Linked DNA regions of Tamandua tetradactyla. The protein of the gene in region 1 purifies or fractionates together with the protein of each later gene. This does not show direct contact. Links are inferred from orthologs where the notes say so. Each region holds a gene or a part of one and is shown on either strand. Other genes may lie near its edges.

Region 1 (7,367 bases):
AGTATTTCCTAGCCTTCTAATTTTGAAGAGCGAGAAGACAGAATGGACCTAAAGAAACCTGCTGATGTTCCTGAGCTCCCAGGACTGTAGGGGGAGTGGAGCAATGGGGGTGTGGTGCAGATGACCTGGGAGAACCCAGAGGTGGAGAGCCTTAAGCTGGAAAGCCCCTGCATTTGTCCAGCCAGTCTCTACTGTGATCAGGAAAGATTTCTATTTTGGGCCCCAGCCTCTGCCAGCTGCCAACATTTCCCTCCCACCCTCTTTCTCACCTGCATCCAAACCAGGAAGCACAAGCCTATGCAGATGACAACAGTTTGCTGTTCATGGAGACATCAGCAAAGACCGCAATGAATGTGAATGAAATTTTCATGGCAATAGGTAGGTTGCCTCTTGTGTCTTCCCCATCATGCACCACCACATGTCCATCGTTTGCCTGCTGTTCCATAGAAGGTCTGCGGGGGGGTTCCTTAACCAACTGGTCTTTTACCATTCTAATACTCCGGTAAAAGTTTCTCTTTCATCTCACTCCCACATGTAGGTCATTCACCCCAGAAGTTCCTATTGCCTGGAACAATGTCCAACATTTCATTCCCTGACTCTTTAGCTCGCTGCCCATTTCAGAAACTGCTATCACTATGCCCCCACTCACTTCTTAGGATTTTTTAGTTCATCAGCTTTGCGGGGTTCATATCCTGACTCTACCACTTAATTAATTCTGTAGCCTTGGGCAAGTTATTTCATCTCTCTCTGCCTCAGTTCCCTGAAACACTCATAAAACTGACACATGGAAGCCTTCAATAAGTTATCACTGATAAGGGAGTTAAGGGCCAGAATTCTACTCAGGTGGAACTGGAAGAGGGTATTGGGGTACCCTTCCTTCTCAAATGCATTCTTCTCCTATCCTAAACAGCTAAGAAGCTCCCCAAGAACGAGCCCCAGAATACAGCTGGTGCTCCAGGCCGGAACCGAGGTGTGGACCTCCAAGAGAACAACCCAGCCAGCCGGAGCCAGTGCTGCAGCAACTGAGCCCCCCTTGCCTGTCCACTGCCCCCACCTCCTCCGCCTGAATGACCCGACTGGAATCCACTCTAACCAATCGCATTTAACGACTCGGGCACCACTGGGGTGGGGGGCAGGGGGAGGGCTCTACCATGATTTCTCCATATACTTTTGATCATAGGCCAGAGTGAGTTATTCCACCCGCACCTTTCTGTACAATACTAATTCAATTTTAAGTCTTAAGTCACTTTTTTAATATATAAGATCTGCTCTTCCCATTTCTTCCCCTTTTTACTGCTCTCCCATTTTTCCTCTGCTGGTAGTAGCTCTCTGCTCCCGTTCCCCCCACCCATGTACCTGAGGGCAGGGGGTGGAGCAGTTACCCTCCCTTTCCTTCTTCAAGAGCATCCCCATCCTTACCTTGGGCTTGGTTTGGCATGGTGGGGAAGGCCACAGGGGTGAGGGAAGGGAGAGGAAGCTCTTCCCTCAGCTGGCTGACCTCAGGCTGCAGCCTACCCTTCTTCAGAGCAGGGAGAGGCACCATATTACCACAGTGAATTTTCACATGAATTATCGAAACAGCCACGAACCATCACCCCCATCCCACCCTCCTTGGTCACCCTGATCTCTGGCTTTGAAGCCCTCTTCTGACCAAATCACGATGATGAGTATTCAGGGGTGGGTGGGTAAGGGGGGGAGTGGGAGGGGATGGAACCAACTTTTTCTGTATTTTGTATTGTATGTTTTCTTCAACATGTAACCAATCAGTATCTTGTCAATATAGTCAGCCGATCGATCGACCTTGCACTTGTCTTCCTTGTCTTTCTCTGGCAGAGTTTATCAGACCGTGCCCTCTGGAATTTTCTTGAAGTGAATTTAAAATGAACCACTGAATCTTATCAAACAAAAGTGTGTTTTTTCCCTAATATGAGGGGATATTGGTGATCATGGTAACCAAGAGAAAGAGGCCCTTACTGTTACCAGCTCCAATGGGGCGGGGAGGGGTAAGACTGACATGGGGCTGAGTCTCACCAAGTTCAAAGTTCATGGTCCTGCAATTGCTTTTCCCTCCTGATTACACCTGGATGACATGTACTGTGTATTTGAAGATTTTGGTCTCTGAAACACCAGAAGCAACCGCTTGGGGGGGGGTGCTCTATAAGGGACTATGTCTTACCCTCATCCCTGAAGAGGAAGGAACATCGATAGTCTTTAGAATCCTGGACTAATCTTTAGGCCAATGCTGCAGTGGCTAGCTTCGCTCACCATGTCTGTCCTCCACAGCACCCATCCACACCCCAGGCTCAAGCTACACCCTCCCTGGTCTCAGGGACCTCTACTAGCTCTGGAGCCGGGTGGTTCTTGGGCCCTCTGAGCCCTCTGCTGCTCCCTGCTGGAGCTGCTGCTCTCTGCTGTGGAAAGCTGGAGGCTGCTGGTCCAGGCAGTGAACAGTGCTGCCCTCTTCAACTTCTCCCAAGGCCCCAGAGGCTGTGATTCTTGGTGGACCACCACCTTATAAGGTGCCTTTCCTGCCTGCCTGACTGAGCCCTTCACTTGGCATCCCTCGGCTTGTGCCTCTAGTCTCTCTACCCTGCCTTTGACCCCAATCCCCAGAAAAGACCACGGACACTAAGACTACTGTGCAACATGGCTGTTTACTGGCTCAGACTAGGTTAGTATCCTTCTTAGAGCCCTGGTCCCTGAGTCTCGGGGACGATCCAGTTTGGGCTTCAGAAGAAGGCAGTGAAGGGCCCTGGCCTCGGAAACACAGCCGGCCGGAGGGTGTCAGGCAGCAGCTCATGGAGGCTGGATCCACGGCAGACGGCAGACGCAGTTCCCGGTGCACCTTCCGCGCCATTCGGTAGCCCGCCCCGTCCGGGCCGTTGCCCTCCAGTTGTTGATGTCCAGTCACTGTCAGGGATCGGCCGTCCACCCTCACCACCAGTTCTTCAGGGGCGAAGCCGTGGGCGTCCACCTTCAGCTGGAAGCCGTCCTCTGCATGGTCATCTTGCGCAGCTGCCGAGGCGTCCCTGAGCAGCCGCACCGGCAGCGTGACCCCCTGATTTTGTTCAGCGAGGGCCACGCTGGGGCGCCGGGACGCCACCTGGTTCTCGTTGGACTGGCTGCTCCCGCCCCGCTGCATCCGACTGAGCAACTGCTGTCCAGGGGCGCGAGCGCGGAGCTCCAGGCGTGCCTACAGGCGCGGATGCCCCAGAGGGGAGGGGCTCCGGGGGGCTGCGCGTGGCTCCCCCCCTCTACTCCCCTCAGTTCTGTCCAGCTCGGTGCCCTTCGCTTCCGCACATCTCGGCTCCTCTGCAGCGAGGGTCGCCTTGGCAGAGCTCAGGGTCAGTTGTGCACGTCCTGCCTCTGAGGTTCAGGTGGACCGCCTTGGAGCTCCCGCTCCTGCCCCTTCCTCGGGTCCTCCCCCACTCTGCCAGGGATTCTGGGCGGCCGGGCTGTGACTGAAATGGATCAACAAGATGCTACACACACGGTTACTCTGGCCTGGACCGGCCAGGGGCGTGGACAGGAGAGCAGATTGAGCCGTTGGGCTGGAAGGTGGCACTCTTGGCCTTCTAAGAATAAGGCCTGAAGGGGAGAGGACTGATCTTGCGGAGCGTGACCTTCCCAGGGTCTTCCATTCTCTGCACATCCTGCCTTTTCCTGATGGCTCCAATGGTTTCTCGTGCGGACCAGGGTGTGCGGGTGGCAGACTCCTCCTTCTGCCTCTTTTAGCATCCATTCATGGAGTCTACGGTGCGGGAGACCAAGGGCTGGGCCCTGGGAACACAAAAATGAAGGCAGGGGCCCTGTTCCCCAGTTGCCCTCGGTCTGGAGAGGGAGAGTCCAGCTGTACCTAGACCGTATCCCTGTCTCGGCCTTCTTTATGACCGCAGCCATGCCTCTGGAGCTCTGTATTTTTATAATGAACTCTTTTTACTGAAAGAAAACATACATAGAGAAAAGTGTCTAAAAGAGTACCACTGATGAATAAAGGCAAATCACCCCTGCCATGACTACACAGCTCAAGAAATAGAACTGGGGCTCCCCAATTCCCCCAGGCAGGTTCCTGTTTTGTAGCATGCTCCTCCTTGTCCCCAAGAGGACAGTAATCTTGACTATCGCGGAAGCTTCCATGAGGAATTAGAAGTGAAGGAGGGATCAATCTGGGTTACTCACTCGGGCCTAAACTGGCTGTCGAGGACCAAGAGACAGGACAGAAAAGTCTGGAACCTGGTAGCAGAGCGGAGCGGCAATAGCCGACTACAACTCCCATCATGCTCCGGGGCAGTGGCGCCTGCGCACTGAGCGCCGGTTGCCCATGCGGCCCTAGGGCTGGGAGCGCCGCACCGCGCTCCGCTGCGGGGCAGGCCATGGCGGAACCTTCCCAGGCCCCGACCCCGACCCCGGCTGCGCAGCCCCGTCCCCATCAATCCCCAGCCCCTGCCCCAACTCCGACTCCTGCCCCCAGCCCAGCTTCGACCCCGGCTCCGGCTCCCACTCCGGCACCAGTCCCGGTCCCAGTTGCAACCCCAGCTGGGAGTACAGGGACTGGGGGGCCCGGGGTAGGAAGTGGGGGGACCGGGAGCGGGGGAGATCCGGCTCGACCTGGTCTGAGCCAGCAGCAACGCGCCAGCCAGAGGAAAGCGCAAGTCCGGGGGCTGCCGCGCGCCAAGAAGCTTGAGAAGCTAGGGGTCTTCTCTGCTTGCAAGGTGGGGGCGGGGCCTGGGGCGAAAGGGGCGGGGCTCGGGGCATCCAGGGCCTCCGATGCGTGTGGATGCAAGGCTCTGGCCGGGGAGTGGTTCCTTGCCCCGGGATGCCGGGTCAATGACTGATAATTCTATCGCCAGGCCAATGAGACCTGCAAATGTAATGGCTGGAAAAACCCCAAGCCCCCCACTGCACCCCGCATGGACCTGCAGCAGCCAGCCGCCAACCTGAGTGAGCTGTGCCGCAGCTGTGAGCACCCCTTGGGTAAGGCCGGCAGCGCCCTTATACCTGGGGACAGAGATGCTGCTGGGTCCTGCTTGGACAGATTAACTCAAGTGCCACAAAGACTCATCTCTGAAAAACCAAAGATGTCTCCTAAAGAGGGATGGGGTTGGGAGTGGGTATACCTCAAAGGAGGAGAAGGGAAATCTGCCAGTCCAGGAGGGGCAAGGGGCCTCCCCAGGGCCGACACAGGTGCAGTCAGTCTCTTTGGAGAGACTAGTTGGAGGGGCTGAAGGTGTATTTTGGCTGGCTATGAAGAGGGCTAGGAAGTCCCTGTTAATCTCTTCTTCCCATTGCTCCCAATTCTCCCACCTGTCCTTTTCGTAGCGGACCATGTGTCCCACCTGGAGAATGTGTCTGAGGATGAGATTAACCGGCTGCTGGGGATGGTCGTAGATGTGGAGAACCTGTTCATGTCTGTTCACAAGGAGGAGGACACGGACACCAAGCAGGTGTATTTCTACCTCTTCAAGGTGAGCTTCCTCCGGATGAGAGAGTGTGTGTGAAATGAGGCGAGGGGGTTCTGCAGCTCTGAGCTCTGCTGACCCGTACTCCCCCTTCCCCTCCCTCCAGCTCCTGCGGAAATGCATCCTGCAGATGACCCGGCCTGTGGTGGAGGGCTCCCTGGGCAGCCCTCCATTTGAGAAGCCTAATATTGAGCAGGTAGCATGGAGAAAGTGGTAAGAGGAGAATGGGAGGGGTGACAGCTTGGAGGAGTGGGGAGCCTGTGCTCTGCATGCTTCTCCAACTGAGTACAGGGAAGAGGTTCAGAGAAGAAAGGAGATTTTGTGCTAATCTCAGGGCTGAGGGGTGGGCATAATTTCTCTTTGCAGAAAGCCCCAGAGTGAAAGGAGAGCCTTGTCCCTGCCCTCGGGGAGCACCTGCTGGGTGCTCAGGCGGTGTCCCCTGTTTGTTTACCGCCTTCCCAGGGGGTGCTCAACTTTGTGCAGTACAAGTTCAGCCACCTGGCTCCCCGGGAGCGGCAGACGATGTTCGAGCTCTCAAAGATGTTCCTGCTCTGCCTTAACTACTGGAAGCTTGAGACACCTGCCCAGTTTCGGCAGAGGTCCCAGGCTGAGGATGTAGCCACCTACAAGGTCAATTACACCAGGTAGGCCCAGCCAGAGGCAGCCTGGGGGAAAGTGTGTAGGCCCAGTCTAGAGTCCATGGTTTCTCTTTTCACCTGCCGCATCCGTCCCCTGCAGATGGCTCTGTTACTGCCACGTGCCCCAGAGCTGCGATAGCCTCCCCCGTTATGAGACCACCCACGTCTTTGGGCGAAGCCTCCTCCGCTCCATCTTCACCGTTACTCGCCGGCAGCTGCTGGAGAAGTTCCGAGTGGAGAAGGACAAGCTGGTGCCCGAGAAGAGGACCCTGATCCTCACTCACTTCCCCAAGTAAGGCTTGTTCTGGCCCATCAGGATTCTGCACCTTTGCTGTTATTCCCTCTTCTCCAGGAAGGCTTCCGAGATTGGCCCCTCCTCTCCCTCCATGGGCCTTCTGGGCTCTGGATGTTTACTGGGCAGACTTGCCCACAGCCCAGATGCAACTTGCTAGTATTTGCCTTTGCATGTGCTTGTGTGGGGATAGCAGGTACATGGCACAGTGTTAATGCTCCCCCTCCTGCACCCAGGATAGACATTACTCATTGTTTCCCACGGGGCCTGGACACAGCCTCAGAGTCCTTCCTACCACAGCACTCCAAGAAACCAGAGCTTACACTTGAGGTGAAACTTCAATCCCTGTTCTAGTCCTTTCTGTAACACGTTCCCCCCTTCTGCCACACCTTCCTCCCATTTTAAACCTGCCTCACAACTCCCCTGTTTAAGAAGTCTTTACTTTCTAATCCTGACCCTCTCATGCCCCTTCTGCTGTCAGGGGAGAATAAAGTGACTGGAAGGGGCAGCCTCTGAGTCCTGTGTTGACAGCGAGGAGTTTGAGGTTCAGGGTGGCTTGGTGCCCTGCCTGGCCACACAGCCTAGAGTGGCATCAGCTTGGACCCTGCCTCCCTGTGCTGCACATCAGGGCAGGGAGTGGGCCCTTTGACCTCTGTCCTAGATGTGCCCATCTTCCACCTTTGATGGGGACTCCCAGAAGGCAGTGTACTGCACCTCCCTCCTCAGACTAGGGGTTCCCAGAAGGCAGAGGCTTTCTCCTTTCAGACTCCAAGCTCCCTGAGATCAGGGTCTGTCTCTCTCACCTGCCTCCTGCCCCTTTGGTGCCTGGCCTAGGGCTCCACCCTTGGTCAGAGGGAAGAGTGGTAGAACAGACTGTGCCCTCCCACAGATTCCTATCCATGCTGGAGGAGGAGATCTACGGGGTCAACTCGCCCATCTGGGAGTCAGGCTTCACCATGCCCCCATCAGAGGGAACAC
Region 2 (6,800 bases), on another chromosome or scaffold:
CAGGCCTGTGCCCAGGTGAGCCGTGCAGACAGCCCCAAGGTCCTCATGGCTTCCCCAAGGTGTCCTTGGTGACTTACTGCCTGGGGTTTCTTGCTCTCTGCCTCTGACCCCTAGGCTCTCATTCCCTGGCCTGTGATCTGGGACTGTGTCCTCTGACCCATGACCCCTGCTCTGACTCCCTCCATAGTTCCTGGAGCAGTACTTCCGTGAAGCAGACCTAACTGAGTTCATGCACCTCTTTGGTGGAAGCTTTGCACACCAGACATCAATAGCCCGTGTAGTTGGACAACAGGGCCGGGGCAGGGCTGGGATCGAGGCCAGCCTAGATGTGGAGTACCTGATGAGTGCTGGTGCCAACATCTCCACCTGGGTCTATAGTAACCCTGGTACTGCCAAGGGGCTGGTTGGTGGGGAAGAGGGTGGAGAGTGGGCATTGATCCCAGATGCCTCAAGGGACTCCCATGAGCTGAAGGGAGATCCTGACAATGCCCCCACCAATAACGACCTTTGTCCTCTCCCCCTGGCCCCTTATCCCCTACCCCTGCCCATAAATCCAGGCCGGCATGAGGCACAAGAGCCCTTCTTACAGTGGCTCCTACTGCTCAGTAATGAGTCAGCCCTGCCACATGTGCACACCGTGAGCTACGGAGATGATGAGGACTCTCTCAGCAGCAGCTACATCCAGCGGGTCAACATCGAGTTCATGAAGGCCGCTGCTCGGGGTCTCACCCTACTCTTTGCCTCAGGTGACCTCTTACCCTAACCTTAGATCCCTACCCAGCCAACCTGGGACCTTTAACCTTACAGTGATCCCTGAGCCTGATCTTTGAGTCATAACCTGAACTCAGACCCTCAGTAGGGACCATAGGTCTGACCTCTAGACTCTGACCTCCATAGCAATGACTGACACCTAAACTTCCACTCTGATTTCTGAACCCACAATGAAGGTCTAAGTGCTAAACTTGGTCTCTCTCCTAGGTGACAGTGGCGCTGGGTGTTGGTCTGTCTCTGGAAGACACCAGTTCCGTCCTAGCTTCCCTGCCTCTAGGTAAGTACCCCAGTCTACCACTTACCTGTGACCACCAGCCTCTCACCTGTGATCTCATGATGTAGAATCTTTGTCTTGACCTCACCAGGCCCTCCTATTGCTCAGCCCTTAGCTTTACCTCCCCTAGTTGCTACACTCCCTTCTCTTCTTCCTGTAGGTCCCTGGCCCCACACCTTCTGAGCGGGACACAACCCCCAAGTGTTCTTCCTCCCAGTCCTGAGGCATTTAGGGGAAGATTTGGCACATGTTCTGTAGAGAAATGTATGGCCAATCACCTGTGGCCATGTCTTGAGGGCCCAAAACCTCTTAGTCACCCCAAAGTACATCCTTCCCCATGGAGTCTAGCCCATCCAGCAAGATCTAGTCTGTACTCACCCACCCTCATACATCTTGGAGTTCCTCTTGAATTCCCTGTAACCTGAGGGCTGTCTTGTTCCCTCAGCCCCTATGTCACCACAGTAGGAGGCACATCTTTCCAGAATCCCTTCTTCATCACAGACGAGGTTGTTGACTATATCAGTGGTGGTGGCTTCAGCAATGTGTTCCCACAGCCTTCATACCAGGTATGTGTATGTTTGTGTGGATGGATAGGTGGTAGTGTTCGAGATCCTCACTAGTTCAGCAGACTAAAGGGCAGGCTACAGGCCAGTACTCACTCCACAATGCCTTTTAGGAGGAAGCGGTAGCCCAGTTCCTGAGCTCCAGCCCTCATCTGCCACCATCCAGTTACTTCAATGCCAGTGGCCGTGCCTACCCAGATGTGGCTGCACTTTCTGATGGCTATTGGGTGGTCAGCAACAGCGTGCCCATTCCATGGGTTTCTGGCACTTCGGTGAGAATCAGCCTGGGTCTAAATCTCCTCTCAGGAAACTGTCCTCATCCTGTACCCCCAAGACCTTATACTCAGAACCCCTAACTCCTTAGAGACCTCCCTATAAGTCCAATCTCTCTCAACCTCTGATTTCTACTTACACCCTCATACTTGTAGGCCTCCACTCCAGTGTTTGGAGGACTCCTGTCCCTGGTAAATGAGCACAGAATACTCAGTGGCCATCCCCCTCTCGGCTTTCTCAACCCAAGGCTTTATCAACAGCGTGGGGCAGGACTCTTTGATGTAAGTGTGGTAGGGAAGGGTGTGTGCTTTCATATGAGTATGGGGAATGGTAAGGTAAACTTGAGGGTAGTTCTGATGGGGTGGGGAAGTCTCAGGGCTGTGAGTACAGGGTGAGGATCTATACTATCTGGTAGTACTGGAACCAGCAGGTCCAGATCTGATGCCTACTTCCTCCCCAGGTGACCCGTGGCTGTCATGTGTCCTGTCTGAATGAAGAAGTGGAGGGTCAGGGCTTCTGCTCTGGTCCTGGCTGGGATCCTGTGACAGGCTGGGGAACACCTAACTTCCCAGCTCTGCTAAAGACATTACTCAACCCCTGACCTTTTCCTGCCAGGAGTTCTGGCATGTCCCCTGCCCTGCAACCAGTGCTGGGTCTCTTATTCTGCACTGTTGGAAACCCTGCTGAACCCTCAACTGTTGACTGCTGCAGACAGCTTTCCTCCCTAACTCTGCAAGGCTGTGAGTTTGACTTGACTTCCAATCCTCCCTTGTTCCGTCATACTTAGGTCTCCCTACTCCTGCCTCAGGTTCCTCTGCAAGATGCTATAACCAGAACTTTTGGGGATGCCCCATCTCTTCTAAACCTGACTTTTCCAAAGGTTGTCCACAATATGTGCACTTTTTCATGTTCATTCAGCCCACTGCAATGAATCCTCTGCTTTAATGGGTTATTCTATCCTCCCCTGACAGTGGGCTCACCGTGAAACAATGGCCTCCTTGCTGCTTCATCTTTGCTTTATGGGCTCTCTATCACCATTACCCACTCCCTCTCCTTCCTTAGCTTCCAGGACTTAACTTCTCCTTCTCTGACTACTCCTGTCTTCTTCAATCATGGACTTCTCTTTTCTGCTTACTCATTGAATACTGGTGTTCACCATTGCTCCATCCTTAGTTTTTTGCTCTGCTCACTGTACCCATTGTCCCCTAGAACAAATCACTGGAATCTCAGCCATCACTGTCTCACTAAATCAGCCTCTACCCAACAGTGATTGATACCTCAAATACAAGATGTATAATATTCAACACTTCATCTTCCTCCTTGCCAAATCTGAACTGTTCCACCTCTTTATTTTCTTCTTGGTGATTCCTACTATGCCCCCTCCAAGCCAGAAACCTAAGAGTCATCCTACACTCCCATTTCCTTTACCTTACCTTCCCCCTACCTTCAATCAACAAGTCCTACTGACTTTACCTTGTAAGTATGTCTACATCAATCCATAAATTTTGCCAATTGTATTTCCTAAACATATCTGGAACTCATCCATGTCTCTCCATCTCCACTGCTACTTTGTTAGTTGAAGACTTCTCTCTCTGAACAGGAGGCCCTTGCAAAAACAGTGTCCACACTTCCTGCCCTTCCTAAACTTTTTTGAGAATATGCATATGCGATCAGGTCATACTTGATCAAAACCCTTTAAAGATGACTGGATAAATTTCAGGCTTTTTATCATGGCTTGCAAGACCTGATCCCTTCCTTTTTTGTTATTTGTGGCTGACGAACAAATTGATTATCTTCCCCTTGCACAATAAACTCCCTCTCCCCAACCTTTGCTCAAGCTGTTCTCTTAGACCTTTGCCTGGTAAATTTCCAGGATTCTTTCAAGACTCCACACTTGGAATTCACCTTCTCTTATGAAACTGTTCAGTTGCCTGAGATTCAGTTAGATGAATTTGGTATAGAAAAACAAAAACAAAAAAACCCAGATTTTTGTAATCAATCCATTAAATTCTTGATTCTGGTATGTACTATCAAAAGGCCTTAGGTAAATACTTCTATTTCTCTGAGCCTCTCAGAATAATCAGGGAATAAGTGGGATAACGTTGATAAAATGCCTGGACACTGGAGTAGGCAGCAAATATTAGTTCCCTTCCTCCTTTGCACTGCACACCCTGTGCCTACCTCTACTATTGTAAGTACCACATGGTAATGAAATTGCCAGTTTCCTTGTTTGTCTCGCTTTCCAAGACCGTCGGTGCCTAGAGGACTAGAATCTTGTCCTACTTAAAGTTGAATTCCCAGGCTCTAGCTCAGGGGTTGGCAAATAGAATTCAGTAAATGCTTGTCGAATTGAAAACCTCGCGCTTTCTCTGGCTTTGATTTGCTTATGTCATTTGCTCGAGGCCGAAATAACGCTCCTCATCTACTGGAGCATTGTGTCCCGCCCTCCTGCTTCTGCACTTCTCTGGGCAGTTGGCGAGACAGGGGACGCGGGATGCTCTCCCACTCCACTACGATCTCTTAAAATCTGAATGAGGGCTCCAGAGGGAAAGCAGATTGGCAGACAACCTGTGGTCGAGGGTATCTGGCCGATGCAATATTTTGGGAGCGTCAGCTGAATGGAATGTCCCCAGACCAGCACAAGAGAGTCCCGGAAATACAGTGGTTGTTTTCCCGGCGGAACTGTCTCGGAGTACCGCTGAGTGGGAGAGCAGGCTGGCCCCGGCCTGCGCAGTTCTCCAGGTATTGGCCTCCGCTCTTGCGGACAGTTCACCTAATTGGCCAAAGAGAAACAACCTAAGGCCGGAGACCCGAGGGAGAGAGCAAATATGCTGTGGGAGGAGCGAGTTGTGAAGCGTGTGACATCACCCTGGTGTGTGCGTAACGTGGGCGGAAGCGGAAGCTGCTCTGTTCGCCGCCTCTCTCACCGGCCCGATGAGCTGCAGCGGCTCCGGCGCGGACCCCGAGGCGGCGCCGGCGTCCGCCGCCTCGGCCTCGGGTCCGGCACCCACTGCCTCGGCCTCAGCAGCGCTGCCTGCCAGCGCCGCCGCGGAGAGCAAGGGCAGCCCCGCAGGGATAGCAGGGGGCCCTGGGGCTGGAGCCGCGGCTGGGGGCTCGGGACCCGTGGCGGCGCGGGCTGGAGAGACGGCCGAGAGGCGCGGGGCGAGTGAGGGCCGGGCCGGGGCGGGTGAGGGTGAGGGAAAGCGCCTGGGGCTGGGTTCAGAGGCGAGTAAGGGTAGAGGGCACAAGCGTCTGCGACCCAGCGGCGAGTAAGGGGACAGGGTACTAGGGTCCTGCACGCCCCCACCTCCGTTTTCACTTTGTTGGTTCTCCGCTAGCTCCTGTGTCGGCGGGCGGCGCGGCGCCCCCGGAGGGTGCCATGTCTAACGGAGTTTACGTACTGCCGAGCGCGGCCAACGGAGAGGTGAAGCCGGTGGTGTCCAGCACACCTCTGGTGGACTTCCTGATGCAGCTGGAGGATTACACGCCTACGGTGGGCTTCCCGCCTGAACAAGGCCACTTGGCCTACTGTCATGCCAACCTTTGCCATGAATTACTTCCCCAGTGCTTTCCTGTGTTTGCTGCCCTCCTCTTATGATCAATCCCCTCTCCCCTTCCTGTGAGCTTCCTGATAACCAGCCCTGTTCTCCATTTCCCTTGCCTTCCCTCATTCTCAGCCCAACAGAGCTCAAGGTTAGCAATGACAGTTGTCTAATTGATTTCTCAGATCCCAGATGCAGTGACTGGTTACTATCTGAACCGTGCTGGCTTTGAGGCCTCGGACCCACGCATGTGAGTAAACACTGGACAAAGTAGAGTTCTGGGTGCTTGTATAGAAGTTGTTTCCCATCTCCTTTTCATACCAGTTTTTTCTCTCTAGAATTCGGCTCATCTCCCTAGCTGCCCAGAAATTCATCTCAGATATTGCCAATGATGCCCTACAGCACTGCAAAATGAAGGGCACAGCCTCCGGCAGCTCCCGAAGCAAGAGCAAGGTGTGAGGGGAGGCTCACTGAATCAGTAATTATCCTTCACAGCCTTGGAGGCTTAACTTATCCTGAAACCCTTTAGGGAAACCAAGTCCTAGGGGAGACTTAAGACCTACTCAGGGTCACCACCTGGGATTGAAATCTGAGATTCTTGTGCTCAGCTGGTGCTCTTCCCTTTCCCCTCAGGACCGCAAGTATACTCTAACCATGGAGGACTTGACACCTGCCCTCAGCGAGTATGGCATCAATGTGAAGAAGCCGCATTACTTCACCTGAGCCACCCAACCTAAATGTATTTGTCCCCATATCCCCACACCAGCCTGTTTTCATAATAAACTTTATTGTGACAGGCAGGCTGATCCCTCCCATGCTGGGAGACACCGTGTGGCAAGTGACAAAGCTCTGAGCCCAGCCTCTTTTGGGGCCACAGTAACAGGGGCGTGGGTAGGGGATGGGCCCCATGGCTGGGGTAGTACCATGACTGGAGACAAAGGAGGCAACCAGAGGCCTGCTGCTTTGGGGAGGGGCACTCCCCCAACTGTGTCCTGACACCCCTGGAGTTTTTTAGGGAAGGACTTTCCAGCCCTACTTGTCTTGCATCTTCTCCAGAATAGGCACAATCATGTCAAACTTAGGTCGCTTAGCAGGGTCTTCATTCATGCAGATCTTCATGAGCTTACACACATGAGGGGAAATACCTGGTGGGATGGTAGGCCGAAGGCCTTCCAGTGCCACCTGCAAATAGAAGGACAAACAAGGTAAACCTCACAATTTCAGTGTCGTGGGGAAAGGCCTATTGGGACAGGATTACTGTATATCTGAACAAGTCTGGGAACAGCCCAGACCCACCACAGTTACTGCCATCACCACCATCATCCCCCAAGACAAGTGTATGTGGCTTTGTTCCCACCTTCATGCCAATTTCCATGT

Evidence for each region. Proteins that work in one complex are often made in the same cells at the same time.
Region 2: the proteins of KAT2A (region 1) and TAF10 purify together in Homo sapiens (affinity purification with mass spectrometry; 8 studies listed by BioGRID and IntAct, with this or other methods). This does not show direct contact. The link is inferred for Tamandua tetradactyla from reciprocal best matches to the Homo sapiens genes KAT2A and TAF10.

What each region holds. Positions count from the first base shown.
Region 1 is NC_135332.1:25,120,311-25,127,677, forward strand, and holds the start of KAT2A (histone acetyltransferase KAT2A), read left to right. Parts: upstream 1-4,315; 5' UTR 4,316-4,373; coding exon 4,374-4,712; intron 4,713-4,850; coding exon 4,851-4,974; intron 4,975-5,319; coding exon 5,320-5,465; intron 5,466-5,565; coding exon 5,566-5,655; intron 5,656-5,921; coding exon 5,922-6,103; intron 6,104-6,197; coding exon 6,198-6,389; intron 6,390-7,278; coding exon 7,279-7,367. Other genes in the region: RAB5C (ras-related protein Rab-5C), read left to right, coding at 285-378, 911-1,026; HSPB9 (heat shock protein beta-9), read right to left, coding at 2,663-3,142. UniProt on the Homo sapiens protein: Protein lysine acyltransferase that can act as a acetyltransferase, glutaryltransferase, succinyltransferase or malonyltransferase, depending on the context.
Region 2 is NC_135334.1:80,052,846-80,059,645, reverse strand, and holds TAF10 (transcription initiation factor TFIID subunit 10), read left to right. Parts: upstream 1-4,802; 5' UTR 4,803-4,815; coding exon 4,816-5,047; intron 5,048-5,219; coding exon 5,220-5,374; intron 5,375-5,608; coding exon 5,609-5,673; intron 5,674-5,761; coding exon 5,762-5,876; intron 5,877-6,056; coding exon 6,057-6,146; 3' UTR 6,147-6,223; downstream 6,224-6,800. Other genes in the region: TPP1 (tripeptidyl-peptidase 1), read left to right, coding at 1-15, 188-386, 558-751, 984-1,048, 1,491-1,611, 1,722-1,880, 2,037-2,162, 2,342-2,482; scaffold protein ILK, read right to left, coding at 6,456-6,605, 6,781-6,800. UniProt on the Homo sapiens protein: The TFIID basal transcription factor complex plays a major role in the initiation of RNA polymerase II (Pol II)-dependent transcription.